Mus musculus: one gene and its partners. The protein of the gene in region 2 purifies or fractionates together with the protein of the main gene of each other region. This does not show direct contact. Links are inferred from orthologs where the notes say so. Each region holds a gene or a part of one and is shown on either strand. Other genes may lie near its edges.

Evidence for each region. The genes of interacting proteins can lie anywhere in the genome.
Region 1: the proteins of Insig1 (region 2) and Amfr purify together in Homo sapiens (affinity purification with western blotting; 6 studies listed by BioGRID and IntAct, with this or other methods). This does not show direct contact. The link is inferred for Mus musculus from reciprocal best matches to the Homo sapiens genes INSIG1 and AMFR.
Region 3: the proteins of Insig1 (region 2) and Scap purify together in Homo sapiens (affinity purification with western blotting; 11 studies listed by BioGRID and IntAct, with this or other methods). This does not show direct contact. The link is inferred for Mus musculus from reciprocal best matches to the Homo sapiens genes INSIG1 and SCAP.

Annotation. Positions count from the first base shown.
Region 1 is NC_000074.6:94,008,787-94,014,531, forward strand, and holds the start of Amfr (E3 ubiquitin-protein ligase AMFR), read right to left. Parts: upstream 3,855-5,745; 5' UTR 3,676-3,854; coding exon 3,433-3,675; intron 3,343-3,432; exon of another isoform or gene 3,243-3,342; coding exon of another isoform or gene 3,222-3,242; intron 1-3,221. UniProt on the Homo sapiens protein: E3 ubiquitin-protein ligase that mediates the polyubiquitination of lysine and cysteine residues on target proteins, such as CD3D, CYP3A4, CFTR, INSIG1, SOAT2/ACAT2 and APOB for proteasomal degradation.
Region 2 is NC_000071.6:28,069,396-28,075,204, forward strand, and holds the start of Insig1 (insulin-induced gene 1 protein), read left to right. Parts: upstream 1-2,016; 5' UTR 2,017-2,042; coding exon 2,043-2,400; intron 2,401-4,151; coding exon 4,152-4,276; intron 4,277-5,086; coding exon 5,087-5,253; intron 5,254-5,666; coding exon 5,667-5,766; intron 5,767-5,809. UniProt on the Homo sapiens protein: Oxysterol-binding protein that mediates feedback control of cholesterol synthesis by controlling both endoplasmic reticulum to Golgi transport of SCAP and degradation of HMGCR.
Region 3 is NC_000075.6:110,331,385-110,337,209, forward strand, and holds the start of Scap (sterol regulatory element-binding protein cleavage-activating protein), read left to right. Parts: upstream 1-1,971; 5' UTR 1,972-2,121; exon of another isoform or gene 2,122-2,382; intron 2,383-5,825. UniProt on the Homo sapiens protein: Escort protein required for cholesterol as well as lipid homeostasis.

The sequences.
Region 1 (5,745 bases), on a different chromosome or scaffold from region 2:
CTGGGGTGGCTCAGGGGCTGGGGTGGCTCAGGGGCTGGGGTGGCTCGGTGGGTAGAAGCTCCTGTTAATCCTGCAGAGACCTCACTTGGTTCCTAGCACTCACAATATGGCTCCAGCCATCTGGTGCTCCTGTTCCAGAGAATCCAATGACGCCTTCCAACCCCCAAGGCACCAGGCAGGTGTGCAGTACACATTTCTATATGCAGGCAAAACACTCATACCCATAAAACAAATCTTCAAAAAAAATAAAGAAAAAGGCCCTAACTTCACAAGTATTCAATATGTCATCCTAATAAACACAGTAACTTTTCAATCTCAACTGAAAATGTAAACATTGTGCCAAGCATGGCGGCCCAGGCCTACAAGTCTATCATGGGGGAGGGGAGGCTGAGGCCACCACACAGGGACTGACAGCAGGCGGCACAGCACTCTGTCCTAAGCAGCCAGACTGGGTCTCTAAAACCAGAGAAGAAAAAGAAACTCAACAAAACGAGCTTCAGCTGCTCAAAGGCACTAACAGGAGCATTTGACCTTTAAACCCTAAATCAGATGCTTCCAAGGACCCCGAACACTCCTGCAGAGTTGGCGTGTCAGCCCCCACTTCAAGCCCAACAAGCATGGGACAAACTGAGTCTCTAAGAACCATAAACCATAGGTCTGCTGCAGCAAGCCTGATCTGGACAGCCGCTTCCCTTCACTTGGACAGCAGAGAAGAGCTATTTTAAAATGTCATCTGTGCCATACACCGAACTCCTCTCACAGGCAGAATCCAATCACGCTAAAAGGGTTCGCCAGACCACTGTACAAGAGCAGAGAAATGGAGCCCTCGTGTCCATCCCTGAAGACTTCACAAACAGGCAGCCAGTGGATCCACGGGAGGTGCTGATAGCATCAGCCCAGGAAGGGCACACGCCTGACACGTCAAGGTAACGTTAGATAAAAGTTCAAAGCAGCATCCAGCTCAGGGAGAGAATAAAACGCAGGTGCAGGTGTGAAACAGAAAGAATATGTGCACATGTATACGCGTGCAAGCCACAGAAATGAACTGGGTAAAGGACTTGAGGCTGACTGTTTCTTAGGTTCCCATTTAAGGCCAGCACCAGCTACAAGGAGCTGAATGGGATGCAGGTGGAACAGGGACCTCCTTTCGCTGTCTATCACTTTTGTTTACTTTGACCTTTGAAATATGAACTTGCAGGATCTGTCTTTTAAAGTTTTAAGTTTAGAACCAACCTAACCAGTTCTGAAATTCCACCTACTTTTCTCACTGCATGTGGCAGGAGGAGTGACAAGCCAAAGATGGCTGTCATAAGCCACAAGTGAGCCTCAGTGCCACACCTGAAGAGAAGGAGCCTCAAAGGCTTGTCACCTGTCTCTCAGCAGGGCCACCTCCTCTTACCTCTGGTCTCCTTCCAACCTCTCAACTCCCTTTAAGTCAGAGAAGCTGTAGTCAGTCCCACACAGCAAGCCTTTCTCCTACCTGGAAACCCCACAGGACTTCACATGTGTTCTATTGTCACCTATTGTAAGTAGCCTCATTTACATATGAGTCATTTGAGGGTAGGGGGGAAGTGCTGTTGGTAGCTGAGTCTTCCTCAGAAAGGTTTTCATCTGCCTGTGCTAATATCAAACCTCCTGAGAGACTACTGCATGTGTTCTACAAAGACAAGTTCTAGAGAGTCTGACAAAACAATAACTAGTAAGACTTCCGACTGGCAATGACAAAGGACAGGTTCTTGTTAATCTTGCTTGGCATTGGCAGACAATGTTTTGTTCTTAGGCGGGGAAGGGGTTCCCCCCCTTAATGTCTAAGGCCTATGAGTGAGGCTCAAGAAGCATCCATTTTGACAAAGGCCCACCACACTGACACTCAGTGTTACCTGCCAGGAACAGGGGAGGTTTTTAAAGAGTGTGAGGCATAGCTGCGCAAAGTAAGTACTAAACGATAAACAAAACTCACAGCACACACAAGATAGATCTGGGCAGACACCATGAGTGCCAAAACTCCAGAGGACATGCAAGAAAACCGAATAAAGCTCAACTGAGAAATAAGGATTCAAAGGAGGGGAAGGAATGATCAATCTATATGAGGTAAGACTGTGCAAAGAAAAAGAACATTCTTTAAAATGACAATTCTCAGAAACGCCAAAGGGAAGGCCTTAGATTAATGTTTTATGAAATGTTATTAACCTTGGAATTTGAACGTGGGTTTTGCAAGAAGAAACTTACGAAAAAAAAACATTAAACAATACTATTGGCTGTTCTAGTAATAGAATAATGGTTCCAGCTTAAAACAAGGTATCAACGACTACATACACTATAGTCTTCACCCTTGTCAAAAGCACTCCCAACATAATAATTCTAAGTTGTTTACCCTAAAGACGAACAGTTCATCTTTTCTTAGGAGTAGAGAAAGGGGAACTTTGCCCTTCACTGCCTTCTATGAAACTATGCACCAAAGGACCAGGAGGCGTCATCTGCAGCCCACGAAGTTCACAAATCCCGCTGCTTCCTGATGAAGCACAGTGGGAATAATTACAACAAATGAGTTGCATTATAGTTCTACAAACTTATAACATTAACCCCTCAGTCATTTACAGCCTTCTCTAGGCGCCGTGTGGGGAGATACGATCCCCACCAAGCCACAGGAAATCCAAGTGACAATTTTTTAAATCCGGGAGCAACTTTTCCTATTTCTGAGGGTTCATAGAAGAGGCACTCAAGTGCAAGGTGAGAGCAAAATTTTCTCAGATCTGCCCAGCCTAAAATGATGTAACAAACGAAGCCAGTACTTGTGGCATGTGGACATTGCTTATCTCGCACCGGCAGACAAACTAGAACCCTTGTTTCAAAATGGATCGCTAAACGGAGGAATCGCGTTCAAAGGAGGGGCTGCCACACCGACCCGAAAGTGTTTTGCTGCTTTCTGTCAAAAAGGGAACAGTCACAAACCATCGCGGGGGGTGGTTGGGGGTGAGATAAAAGGACGTAGCTGGTCTGTTTGCTTCGTTAAATAGCGCCCATCGGGACTAACGCATTGACAAATAGCACCATTTCGAAGTTGTCTGGCGAAGAGTAAAATGTCCCCCTAACTTCGGCCTTCTCTTCGTCGGCGAGCCGCCCCCAACAACGCCGAGCTAAACCGGACGTGTCGCGGCTTCTCACAGCCTCGGGTCGCCGCACCCCGCCGCCCTGGAGCCCGCGGGTCCGACCGCCCTTGCCTCGACTGTTCTCCCCGGCATCCCGACACCTTCTCTCCGCGGCCCGCCACGCTCGCAGCGCCGCTGGGCCTCGAGCCCCACGCGAGGGCCGCGGTCCCCGGGCCGAGGAGGCCGGGGTCAGGGCCCGGCCACGCCCCCCTGCGGATAATGGGTGACATGGCGGCTCCCGCCCGGCCGCCCGCCCCCGCGCCCGGCCCGCAGCCTCGCTCACCCACACGAACAGGCTGTCCGACAGCAGGTACTGGGCCACGTCGCGGGCCCGGGGGCCGCCGGCGGTCAGGCGCGCCTCGGGCTGCAGTGGGGCCGTTAGCGGCTCCGGCTCACCCGAGCCGTCCTCCGGCTGACTGAGGGCGCGGTAGGCGCTGACGATGGTGCCCAGCAAGGCCAGGCCGCTGAGGCCCGTGTAGGTGCGGAGGCTGGGCCACGGGAAGCGCTCGAGGAAGAGCAGCGGCATGGCGGCAGCGACGGGCTCCGGCCCCCGAGGCTTCCCGCGCTGCGGCCAGGCGCCTGCGGCGGCCTTGCGAAAGGCGCCCACGGGCTCTGGCGTCGCTGCCGCTGCCGCTGCCGCCGCCGCTGCGCCGGGCCGAGCCGGGCCGCTCCTAGCTGCTCGCGCCGCTCCGCCCCGCGCCGCTCCCGCTGCTGCCCCTGCCGGCGCGGAAGAGCCTCGGCGGACTCGGGGCGGGCCGCCGCCCCTAGCGGGACGCGGGCGGGACGGGCGCGGGGGCGCGGCCTTCGTCCCCCGCCCACAGCCGGCGCTCTGCAACCCCGAGAGCACAGGACCCGGCCTGGGGCCCCGCGTCCCGGCCCCCTGCAGCATCCTTGGCGACCCTGGGCCCACTGAAGCCACGAGCGCACCCGAGCCGGGCTCTGGGGTGAGCCTGGCCCGTAGGCAATGACGGCAGGCCTGTGTGCGTGGTCAGGCGGCAGGGTGAGGGTGCGGGACCCCTGCCCCTGGCCACTTGTCGCTTGTTCCTCCCCGCCAAAGCTGGTAAACCCGCCATCCCACCACCCTGTAGACTAGAGGCTTCCTTGGTGTCCTAAAGAAGCGACATGATGCTTAGGAAATAAGAGAAGCCTTGAGATAGAATATTTTTAAAACGGAGGAACCAATTTAACCAGAAATAAAAATCTGTTCCCTCTTAGCTACAAGTAAGAATGTCAAATGCTGCTTAGTTTCTTGGAAAATACCTGTTCCTAAAAGGTAAACCAAAGGGTGACCTTCGTCCTGGCAGTTACACTGCTTGTTAAGTAAACATCCAAGAGAAATGAAAACAGACACCCACACAAAGTCCCTACATTGAGGCTGACAGTAGCACTACTCCTAAAAACCAGAGAGGCAAACCTCGAATTATAGCGTTTGAAAATAAAGTACAGATAATGCTACAATATCAGAGAATGTTGACGATGTCTGAATCAAGCCACACACAGATATCTAAATTCTGTGTGACCACGCTGATAAGACAAATGCATGCAATGTAGAGTAGAAGGGGAGTTTGAAAGAACTGGAGGTGACAGCTAAAGAAGTGACAGGTTGGGGTACTAGTTTCCTGAAGTGAGAATTTCTAAAGTTGCTGTTATACAACTATGAATACACTCAAAGTCACTGAATTGTACACTATAAACAGCAGGTTATATCTATGTGAATTACATAAGATAACATAGGGTACAGTTTTTAATTATTATATCCCCGAGCCATGTGTTAGTGCCTATCCCAGAATGTAGCTCTGTAAACAGCTTTGAATTTTCCAAATTTTCTAATGTGGAGAAATTGTCTTTGTAGTATTTTTTCATGCCAAATATTTCTATAGATCTTTTAAATCTGAAAATTAACCACTGTTATAATTCTTAAAAACATCTCATCATGAGTCTTTGTACAATATAGTTCCCTTTGGTTCGTTCCCAGTCATTTGCAACATGGCTTGTGAGATGAACCATTTGCTACAAACTGGAGTTTGATTCTCATAACTCCCCCAAGTTGTCCTCGGACTTCCATATCTGTGTCTCCCCCACACATAACTAAATGTAAAAATAAAATACCAAGCCGGAACACTATTGTCCAAATAATGGAAATCTTTATTCTGAAAAAAACTTGGGTGGTAATTTTCCAGAGAGATTTTTACAAGGTCAGATCTGAGTCACGATGATTTTTAAACCATTCATTTGTGATGCACACTCAATGTAAGCTACAACCCAGCAGTATTAGATACCAAACTTGTCCTTTCATATTGATGATAACAAAGCTGCCTTCTTTCATCTCAGAAGCGTGGGCTCTCTGAAAATCCAGCATCTGTAACAGATGAAATTAACCCAGCTCAGCTACACTTTAAGATAAGGCCAAAGATTTTGGATGGCTTCTGTTTTGAAAGAGAACAGTCATTGTTCTATTCCTTTACCCTCAAGAAAGTGCTCTGCATGTCATCCTTCCTTCGAGGACCTGTTTGAGATGCTTGTTCTCAGTCTAACCCAGTCTGGCCTCCAGCTCTCGGCAATTCCCCTACTGAAACTCCTGTTAGGGTTAGAGAAT
Region 2 (5,809 bases):
GCAGAGATATAGATAAAAAGCAATGGGTGGCTCCCAGGTAAGTTCTCAGTAGATGGAAGCACCTGCAATCAGCAAAGCTGTAATGATTAACATGAAGTGGTACAGTGAAGGGCCAAGGAGCTCCACCTCAAAAGCATCTCCCTAGCAACCCCACTCATCCTCAGGGCCAGAGAAGGGACCCCTGATCTTCCATTTCCAGTATGCATTAAAAACAAACAAAACAAACAAACAAAAACAAAAACCTAGCAGGCCTTGGGTATCATTTTTGATAGGCAGGCAGCCTCTCCAAGAGCCTCAGTTTGAACTCTTCTCTACCGTCACCCTACATTCACTGAAAGTGAGGTAAACTGCTCATGAGCCCATAGCAGCCCCCGTGGGACCCCCAGAGAACCAGGCCACAGGGTGTATCCTTCATGGTCCACAGGGCACCTTGGTCTGCATACCACAACAGCCACCAGGGTTTAAGCCCACAGCTTGCTTTGTCCCGGTGCAGATGAGCTGGTCAAGCAGCAGCAGAGGTTAGACTGCATTAATACTGGCTTGGGTAAGCAGAAGAAACAACCAAGTTGGTAACAGAGCAATTGTCTGAAGATATCAACCCCTGCCCCCAGGCAAGCATCACAAAAGCACACAAAGTATTATTAGAACCTCTTAGCCTACTTGGTAAGAATTATAACAAGAGGAAAAAAATCCGGGGGAGAGTCTGTAAAGACAAGCAAAATGGCTTGAGAAAAAGGGACTGAATTACATCTCAGTGCTCACAAGACAGATGCTTGGTGCTGGGGCGTGGGTGCAGGGTCTGGGACTGTCCCATCAAGCCAGCTTCCTGCAAGTGACTGGCATGTCTGTTCCTTAGGGCCAAGTTTCCTATGAGCGATGTGTCTGTTCCTTGGGGGCAAAATTGTGTGTATTTACACAGGTGTCGCTTTCTCAACATCTGTTTAGAGTACTTGCAGCTGATGATGGGTGGTAGAGGCAGCACCTGCTACATCCCACAGCAGAGACTCACTGCCTTTAACAATTTCCTATCAGCTGAAGCTGGGCAGGCCCTCCTGCTTTCTTGCTGTCAAAAAGGCTCCCATGTTGCTGTAATACACCATACAGTACTGATGTCCCCAACCCCCGTGTGTGTATGCCCATGAAACCTCACATGCATGGACTGGCCAGAGTGTGGAAAATGGCGAAGACCCAAGTTGCAACATTCCTTGAAGTCAAAACTGCTTCAAGCTCTTCCAAACAACGCATAGAGCCGCCTAAGAGAGGAGTGGACAGGCTGTGAGGGAAAGACAGCCAGGTCTCCACACCCGTGTCACGCTGGGAAAATGACAGCCCCCATGATCTCTGAGAAACAGCCTGCTTAGGAGGGTGACTTTGTTTTACACTTTTGGCACAAAGCCACATTCCTTACCTAAGGTCTCACACACACACAGTGCCTTTTCAGGCCTGCTCACCACCCTGTGGTTTTAGCCGGTGGCGTCTTGGCTAGGGGAGCCCTGGTCTGAGCTGTGAACCTGCAGAGCACTTGCCATTAGCAGCCAGCCCAAGCGATCCCAGGTCTTTTAAGCACTCAGGAGGGTTTGCGCTCCGGGTCCTTTCCTTCGGACCTGCGTGGACCTCATTATCTCAGAAACCGAGGTCCGGCAGCGCAATAGGGCAGCATCGGACCATCTGACTCGCTGGCCGCCCGCTCCGGTGCCCGCCCCGGCGCCTGCCCGAATAGCGCGCGCTCGAGCGCGTGCCGGGCACCAGCCCCACCCCCCCGGTGGCGTGTGCATACGTCATATGGGCCGCCCTCCTCCCATTGGCTCCGGCGGCCTCACCAGACCCCGAGCGGACAGGCGCGCGGACAGGGCGGGGCCGCTTGAAGACACGCCCCCCAGCAGGGCGCGCGGGCGGCGGATAGGCTGGGTGAGGTCACGTGGCTCCGGTGGCAGCCTGCCTTATAAGCGGAAACCGCGCGGGGCCGCGGCCGCTCCTGGGCCGTCCGGGCGCGGTACGTGTAGTGTCGTGGCGTGTACCTTCCATGCTGTGCCTGGACGCCGATGCCCAGGCTGCACGACCACGTCTGGAACTATCCAAGCGCGGGCGCTGCGAGGCCGTACAGCCTCCCGCGAGGCATGATTGCGGCGGCCGCTTGTCCGCAGGGCCCCGGAGTCCCCGAACCCGAGCACGCGCCCCGGGGCCAGCGAGCGGGAACCACAGGATGCAGCGCGCGGCCGGGCAGCTGGCACCACGACTTGGTGCAGCGGAGCCTAGTGCTCTTCTCATTTGGCGTGGTCCTGGCCCTGGTGCTCAACCTGCTGCAGATCCAGCGGAATGTCACGCTCTTCCCCGACGAGGTGATAGCCACCATCTTCTCCTCCGCCTGGTGGGTGCCCCCGTGCTGTGGCACGGCAGCGGGTGAGTGCCTTTCCTTGTTCTTGGGGTGGGGGAGGGGGATGAAGGGACACGTCAGCTGTTAAAGTCACCCTTGTTACAAGAAAAGGAGAACGGAGAGGGTAGGAAACCCCAGACGTTGGCGAGCGACAGGCGGAAGTTGGAGGGACTAGTGATGGAGATGAGGTCAGGAGATAATTGGCAGTTTAAGTGGAGGAGTCGCAGCTGTCTCGTTGAGCCAGAAGCCAGGATTGGCCGCCTGGAGAACTGGTGAGGGCAGCACCACGCAGCTATTGGCTGCCTGAGCAAACGTGCTACCTCGCTGGATAACTGAAAACAAACCATCACGTGCGCTCAAGAGGCAGTTGCCAGGGGACAGACTTCTCTGCCTTCTGCAGATTGTGGCTATCAGCCAAACCTTCTGGAACTCCGTGCCCAGTAGACTTGGGACAGGAGGAAAAAAGGAGCCTTTGGGCCTAAGCACACCTATGGTGTCACCTCTTAGGCCCAACGAAACTTGTAACAGTGCCACAGTCTTTTTTCTTTCCTTGATCATTTTGCTGCTTTTTGCCAAAAGTGTTGAGTAATTACAGTCCAACAGATCCTGCATAGTTTACAGTGTACAGCGTTGATAACCATTTGTCAAGTGTTTCTCCCCCCTCAGCCCTGCTTGTCCTTGTCCTGTCCTGTGTAGGTGGGCAGTATTTGCTCAGGTGCATCTTTCCTCCAATCTGCAGCCACAGGACAGCAGGAGCAGTGCCTGTCTGCTTTGAAGCCAGCTTTTATTGACTGCCTGCCTATGCTTTATATGCTGGGCTTGGGTGCTGTGCTGTAGCTGAGTCATGGGTTAAATGTAGGATGCAGGACACTTAACTGTTGATTTCCAAGGCTGCTTGCTCTCAGGCTCACCTGCAGCATTATGAGGGTCAGCCACATGACAGTTGTGTGCTTCTTGGTTGTTTTGGACTGGGGGTGGCCTCATTCATGCTAGGCAAATCATCTGCCACCAAACTACTATCCCCAGCATTTAAAAGTTCCTTGGGGAATAAGATGGAGATTTGAATTCTCTTTTCCTTACATATGAAACCTAAGGCTCTTTGAATTTGAAAGTTTATCTTCAACATGAAGCATCATGTTTGTGATGAAAGTTTAAGGGAACCCAGTAAACCAGTTTCTCATCTGAATATGAGGCTGGACTGGTACTGCTTTCACCACTGAGGCTGAGTGCCTGTGTTCACACTGGACAAGGTGGGACGGCAGCCTGACTGAGGTCTTGTGCCCTGTGTCCATGAGACTGCTCCCACTTGTACTGCAGACAGTCCCTCCCTTCCTGGGTTTTACTCTCTTTGTGTCTTCTGGAGTGCCCAACTTCTGCTGTCCAAATGTTTTGGAGTCCAATCTGTGTTTGTGACAGTTCCTAACTCTGAGAACCACAGAACCTTCTTTGCCCTCCACTTTACTTACATAATCCTCATTTCACACATGCGAAAACAAACTCGAGGAGACCTGTCCAGCCTCTCTCCCTTCTTGAGACCCTACCCTCCTCACAGTGTGAGACTTGTCTTCACTGGGGCCAGGTCAAGGCTGAGAAAAAGAGAGCAGTGTGGGGTGGCCTTCCCACAGCCTTTTCTTACAGGTGTATGTAAGGTAATACTTTGTGCTACAGGTGACAAACTGCCGAGGAAAATAAGTGGTTTGGATCCTACTAATAATGACCACACAAGGACTGATTTTCACCAGTGTATCCTAATCCTGTTTTGTTTTTCTTTAAACAGCTGTTGTCGGTTTACTGTATCCCTGTATTGACAGTCACCTGGGAGAACCACACAAGTTCAAGAGAGAATGGGCCAGCGTTATGCGCTGTATTGCCGTGTTCGTTGGCATCAACCACGCCAGTGCCGTATCCTCAGTTGGTGTCTGTGCAGAGGGTCATCTGGGTTGTGGCAGGGTATATTGACACTGCTCGTCCCCTCGTTCCTGAGCTTCAGAGTATGACTTGGCTTTCACGTGGCAGGAATTTTGGGGTTCCGTTCCTAGGACCTCTGTACTAAGAGTAGAAGCAGAGGTTTACTGTGGCTCAGTGGACTTTTGTCCTCTCTCTTGCCTTCTACCCCACTGATGTGCTCTGTGGTAGTGAGAGCCCTGTCCCTGTTCTCTGTCACAGGAGCCCAAGGCTGGTCAGGAGGTCCCTGCGGGCTTCTACTTTCCATAGCTGACATTTTGCCCTTCGTGTAGGCTGCTGTGGTTTTATGCATTTTCTATGAAAATGACCAATTTGATGGTAAACTCTTCAAATGCTAAGTTTCTAGAGCAACTTAGAGTAAAAGATCTTGTGAAGTTGTGTCTGCACTTGGGGCCTTCCTTTCCTGCCAGCCAGCTCTGAGAGTGCTCACTGACAAGCACTGAATCAACTTACCTACTACCTAGGGGACACAGAGACAACATGGAGACAGTGCCCGCCTGTCTCCACTCACTGAAAAGTAAAGGAGGGAGGAGAGCATTCTTAGCAATCTCCCAGCTGTCAGAAAGTTTACTATTAGAAGCCAGCGCTCTGACTGGTCCTCACTGGGGGTCTTGGGATTGGTCATGTACCATCATTAGAAGCAGACAGTTACTATATAGTGATACACCCTGTACGTAATTCTGGGGTTTAGGGGTTTTTTTTCTTATGATAAATTATAAAATGCTTCCTTAACTTTTGGATCACTAGAAATTAGATTTTGCCAATAATGTCCAGCTGTCCTTGACTTTAGCAGCCCTCTCTTTGGGTTTGTGGTGGACATTTGATCGTTCCCGAAGCGGCCTTGGGCTTGGGATTACCATCGCCTTCCTAGCTACGCTGATCACTCAGTTTCTTGTGTATAATGGTGTCTACCAGTAAGTTCGAATTTAGAATATTACTTTGGTTTTATAACACCTGTTAAAATGTAAATGTTTTTTATGAAAATCTTGAAATGCTTTTTTTCAATGCATATTGAAAACTCACCACTCAGCTGGGTGGATTAGGGGTGATTCATGCCTTTCATCCCAGTACTCAGGCAGAGGCAGTAGGATCTCTGAGTTCAAGGTGAGCCTGGTTTACAGAATGAGTTCCAGGATAGTCAAGACTACACAAGGGGAAAAAAACAACAACAACTCACCATTAATAAGTTGGTAAGAGGAAAGTCTGGTGACCATAAAACATGACACATTTGATAACTTTAGCCCACAATTGTCTCCCTCACCCACATTACAGGATCCTGGACCACAAGCTGCCTGCGTAGTTAAGTCTGTTTTGTTTTTCTCCCTAGGTACACGTCCCCTGATTTCCTCTATATCCGTTCTTGGCTCCCCTGTATATTTTTCTCAGGAGGTGTCACAGTGGGAAACATAGGACGACAGTTAGCTATGGTAAGTGCAGCAGTTGCTGTCCCTAGGCACTTGACACATACCT
Region 3 (5,825 bases), on a different chromosome or scaffold from region 2:
GTATATTTGGTTTGCATTTCCATGTCCATCAACAAGAGTCAGAGCAACAAAATACACCACGTAAAAAAATAAATTTTATTTTTATTACTGAGGTTTGAGCTCAAGGCCTTGATGCTAGGCCCTACCAGTGGGCTGCATTTTCTTATCTTTGTGGGGGCCAGACTTATGTACCAGACTGGCCTCAAATTGGAACCTTGGACTTCTGTTCCTCCTGCCTGCATCTCCTAAGGGCTGACATAGGTGTGACCCACTGAAAGATCCTAACAGAATGTAAAAGGTCACAGAAGCCCTGAAATTGGCAAGATAGATGTCACTGTTAGCAGAACTAGCTTCACTGATTTAGAAAAATAGAGGTGCACAATGCTCTGGCCACTCCTTGAACTTGTGTGTCTGCCAATGTTTTGACCATTCCTTGAACCCATGTGTGTGCCCACTGATGAAGCCCACTGCCAGGTGTTTGTGATATTGGTTGCTGAGAAAGAGTCAGAAAATCTCCCCAGCAACCACAACCGGGCCAATCCTGAGTTGCTGCCCCTGCACCAGACTCTTTCCTTGTACCCCTCCCATACCCATTTCTTGAGAATTGTTTAGATCTGGAAATCCCCCCACTCTCCCCTTCTCCTTTCCCCCCTGAGGGCCTATAAAAACTGGGACCTCTTTCCCCTCGAGGTCGACTCCTCTAACCCTGCGTGGGATATGAGTCATCCCCAGAGCTCTGGCTTTCCCCGAATAAAGCCTCATGTGGTTTGCATCAAGCTTGGTCTATCGTGAGTTCTTGGGTGTCTGCTATTATCCTGAGGCCTGAGCGAGAGGCTCCTCTGGGGAGTCTTTCACCACCACTGCCAGTTTGCTGGGGGTTAAGGCTCATATTCAAGGCTGGGCAAGCAGTATATCAACTGAGTTACATCTCTACCAGAAACCTGCTTTATAGAATAACCCTATTCCAAAGGCTGAAGTGGCCACCTCTGATTTGTTTTGCACGGTGACTATACTTATATTTTCTCTTCCCCCACCACTGGTGCCCTTGAGGGCAGGTACAGGGTCTGTTCTACCTTAGTATGCCTTGGGGGTGAGCAAGAGTGACACGAAAGAAGTATGTTTAAGGTAGCAAGATGGGGGCAGGTGGCCACTCTGACCTGTGACACTCAGAGAGTCAAGACATTGGTAGTGTGGTTGAGATCTCTCCACAGGCAGGCCTGAGGACAAATGGAAACATAGCAACCAGGGTTGGTGCTGTTGCTGAGTGTCTGGAACCTCACTTTCCCCAAGGCCAAATGAGAGAACACACACCATATGCTTAACTCAGCATTTACCAGAGCAGTCACTCAGCATAATCCGTTACATGTGCAAGTCGACTGGTGGCAGTTCAGAAGGTGGAAGAGACTCAGACACCCATAGTTCCTCTACGTGGGAATAAACACTGAGTATATATCTTCCACTTTACCCTATGCATTGTATTTTTAACAAAAATGGAATCCTAACACCAGCTTGGTTTTGAACTAGCTTTCATTATAAGTGCTCATTTAACATCCTTGGTGTTGGAGGCTCCTATACCTAGTTCATCAACTGAATACACTTGCTATTTAGCTCAGTTGCTTCTAATTCCCTGGTTTGTTTTTCTTTTTGATGCTGCTGTGGATCAAACCCAGGGCCCCTAGCGTCTCAGGCAAGCTCTCTACCACTGAGCCATACACCCAGCCCCGCTTCTAATCCTTTGGCACTATAAAGCATGGAACACGAGCTCTTGTGCATGTTCTCAATCACTTCCCAGGACAGTGATGCTGTCAAAACTCTGAAGTGCTACTAGCCACCTTTTTCCAGGCCACAGGCAACTCCAGTACTTCCTCTCGCAGTTGTGTGGCAGGGGACCACCAGGGGGCGAACCCGAGCCGTTGGCAGTGCCAGACTACGCATGCGCACGCCGCCGGGAGCACGTGTGGAGGGCGGCGGAGCGGGAGGGGAAAGGTAGGAGTTGAGAGGTGAAGGGGCGGGGAGCTGCGCGGGCGCCGGGCGGCCGGGAGGGAGAGGGCGGGCTCCAAACACCGGACCGCGGGCCAGGAGCGCGCAGGCCGTTCTCCGCCGCTCGGTCGCCGCCGCCCGGGAGCTGCCTCGCTGCCACAGGTACCTCAGCGCGCGTCTGCACGGTGCGGCTGGGCCCCGGCGCCGGCCTCGCGCCGCTCGTGCCCGGGAGTTCCGGGATGCGGGCGAGCCCGGGCAGGGGCGCGCGGGCGTGGGCGCTGTCCAGCAGCCCGAGGCGCGGCTCCGGAGACCGCAGTCTGGAGCTGGGGGCCGGACGGTCTCGCGTCCCCCTTCCCGACCGCGCCCCCGCCCGGGCCGAGCTGCCTGGGTCGCGATGGGTTCAGGCTGAGTGAGCTCAGGCAGGTAGGCTCGCCGCTGGATCCTGCTTTGGGGTTGTCTGGGGTTGTCTGGGTGAGGGCTAGACCCTGTGACTCAGTCCTGCCTCTTTCCGAAGATCCGATAGCCAGGCAACATGTAGATTCTCTGCTGGGAGTGCTCGGTTTCTGGTTTTATGTGTTGCTTAAACCTAAACTTTGCTCGCTTATGTTGCTTATGTTTACTTCCAGGTGGTTTTGTTGCATCAGGGTTATAATGGGATAGCGCTAGCTGCAGCGAGTCCCGGGTCCACACTGCATCTCAGAAAGTTGTGCAGATGGTGGCGATGAAGAGGAGGGCAGTGAGCCACAGGTGGCGGCGGGTGAGGGGTGGGAGTGGGAGTGGGGTCCTGGAGGTAGTCTTCCTTAGTTTAGCTTATTTATCTCTTATGGTGACGGAAGCGATGAATAAATAAGTTCATGATGATCTTGTAGTAATTCTTGTGAAGTCGACATAGGAACAGTCTTTAATGATGCGTTTGGGTGCGTTTGTAGAGTTTGCTTATGCAGTGTGCAGCCATCTCAAGGTGTGCTAAACATTAAAGCTTTTCTTAGAGTCAGGATCAAGTGTATCTAGTTAGTGCTGAATGCATTTTAGGTGTAACCTGTGTGATGCTCAAGTGAAGATTGTATGTTATGAAGTATATGCTAATGTATTTCAAATCTAAAGGCTTTTTATATATTTGCAGCGTTTCTGCTTGGCAAATATTTTGTTTGTATTGTTTTTTTAACGACCAACAGGAAATACAAGTATAAACATTATTCCTATACTCATTATTAAGTTACTTGGGGACGTGTGCCTAGGGCATTGGTCTGCCACTGAGTAACACCTGTGGCTTTTTATTTTGAGTTGGGCTTCATTGCCCAGGCTGACCACAAAGTTTCATCCTCCTGCCTCGGTTTCCTGAATATGTGGGATAGCAGATGTGTGTGCTCCTGCTCCTGCTCGGCACTCATTCTTTGGTCAGGTTGAAAAGCAAGAACTGGCTTCCCCTTACTTGAAACTCCGTTGTTGTTGAATACTCTCTTGTTACTGTGTGTGTGGGGGGGGGGGGGCGGGTGGGAAGTACCTCTCCAGATGTTTCCATGTGCTTTAAAAGTCACGGTTTGGGAACCCTACCACCCATTTAGATTACTGTCCTGAGATGGGCACAAAACCTTTACTCTTAGTTTGTGGCTAGAACACAGAACCATAAAAATTGTGATTTGCCTGAGGCCATATGTAAGCTGCTTAACTGTCCTGTTGGGAAAGGGACCATGCCTGCCGTCCGTTTGTATTTGTTAATGTGGTTGGTTAGAGTTGCCACAGTTCAGGATCACTCCAGATACTCATCTCGGCGAGCCTAGAATTCATGTGCACTTTGCTCACTTTGACAGTCTGTATCCTTCTGTTGGCTGCGACAAATACCGCATGTGTGGTTTTCATTCTCTTTCCCGTGGAACCAGTTTCCAGGGTCATCCAGTGTGTGCATGGAGAATCAGGCCTTCAAACTGTGTCTTCCGGATTCTGCCATACGAGCTCCTGACCCTGGAACTTACCACTGTTCTGAGTTGGCTAAAGAAACAAGATCCGGGTGACTTTAGCCACCTAAAGTGATCCTTGTGGGTAATATTTGTGGAATTTTTCAAGGCTCTGGCTGTTGGGCACAGCTTATCTAAAGTTCCGTAATGAACAGATGAGATGATAGTGTTAGTCTATAGGGTGAATTTCAGGCAAGTTTTCTCACTGGCCAGTTAGGGGCTGTGCCTGTATGCGAACTTGTTTGCCCGACAACAGTCCGTGTTTTCCTGCAGATGTGCCCACTGGCTTCATAGTCTCTCTATTGTTCTCTTAGCAAATGGGAGGTGGAAGAGGAGGTGGTATGAGTGGAGGAAGCAGCCTGTGTCCAAGATGGCACATCTCAGTACGGCACGGCTCTCTTTCTCTCCTCTTCCCCACTTGGCTTGTTAGACTTTTCTAATTTTTAATTTTTTTTAAAATTTGTGGAAAATAATATATAAAATAAAATGTACAATTTTAATGATTAAATAGAGTAGTCAGGGATATTAAATATACTTACAGTGTTGTATAGCTGTCATTATTACCCATTTTCAGAACTTCTTAATTATTGTACACAGAAACTGTCCCCATTAAACAGTCCATATTTCCTGTGCCGCCTACTGCTGGCAACCTCTGTTGTACTCTTTTTTTCTGTGAGCTTGCTTGTGATAAGTTCTCTCATCTGAGGAGAATTGTAATTATGCTTTTTAGATTATTTCACTTTTGTTTAATGTGTATGAATGTTTTGCTTGCATGTTTGTATGTGTACCATATGTATGCCTGGTGCCCTCAGAGGTCAGAAGAGGCTATCAGATGCCCTGGAACTGGAATTAGGCATGGTTGTGAACAACCATGTGTGTGTTGGAAGCCAAACCTGACAGTCTGCAAGAACAGGTACCTTTAACTGCTGAACGTTCCCTCCGGCCCCAGGTCTTTCTTTTGAGTCTGGTTTCTTTCACCTTGATTTGAAGGTTCATTCATGTATTGTTTATTACATTTCATTCCTTTCTCAGATCGAATTATATTATTTTGTTTGTATAGCCACATTTTTTTTTCAAGAGTTTCTATTTATAGCTAGGCCTGTCCTGGAACTCGTAGACCAGGCTGGCCTTGAGCTCAGAGATCCACCTGCCTCTGCTTCCCAAGTGCTGGGATAATGGATGCTGCTATATAGCTACATTTTAAAAGAAATCTACCTTTCAATGAAGAGTGGAGCTATGTCTACCTTTTGGCTATTAGGAATGGTGACGTCAGGAACATGAGTGCACAGTTAGTCAAAAGGCTGACAATTAGGAGGAACTCAAGTGTATAGATCTTTGGATTTTTTTTTTTAGATTTATTTATTTATTTATATGTACACACCCCAGAAGAGGGCATCAGATCTCATTACAGATGGTTGTGAGCCACCATGTGGTTCCTGGGACTTGAACTCCGGGCCTTCGGAAGAGCTGTCAGTACTCTTAACCGCTGAGCCATCTCTCCAGCCTGGTCTTTGAATTCTTACTTTTAGTTCAGTGCGTGTTTTTTGTGTGCTATTTGGATATACAGTTGTCTGTCAGTATCCATAGGAGATTGGTTACAGGAACCCTTTTAGGCACTAAAATGTGTGAGTTTTTATGTATGTGGGTATATTCCCTGCATGTATGTCTGTGTACCACATACATGCAGTGCCCCCTGGTCCTCTGCAAGAGCAGCCAGCACTCTCAACTGCTGACCCATGTCTCCACCCCCTAGGTTTATTTATATTGTTTTTAACTACATGAAGGTGTTTGTGTCTGTATGTGGGTATGTTCTCATAGTGCAGAGGCTCAAGGAGGCTAGGAGCTGGAGCTGGAGTTCCAGGCAGGTGTCTGTAAGCTGTCTAATATAAGCACTGGGAACTCAGTAGTACA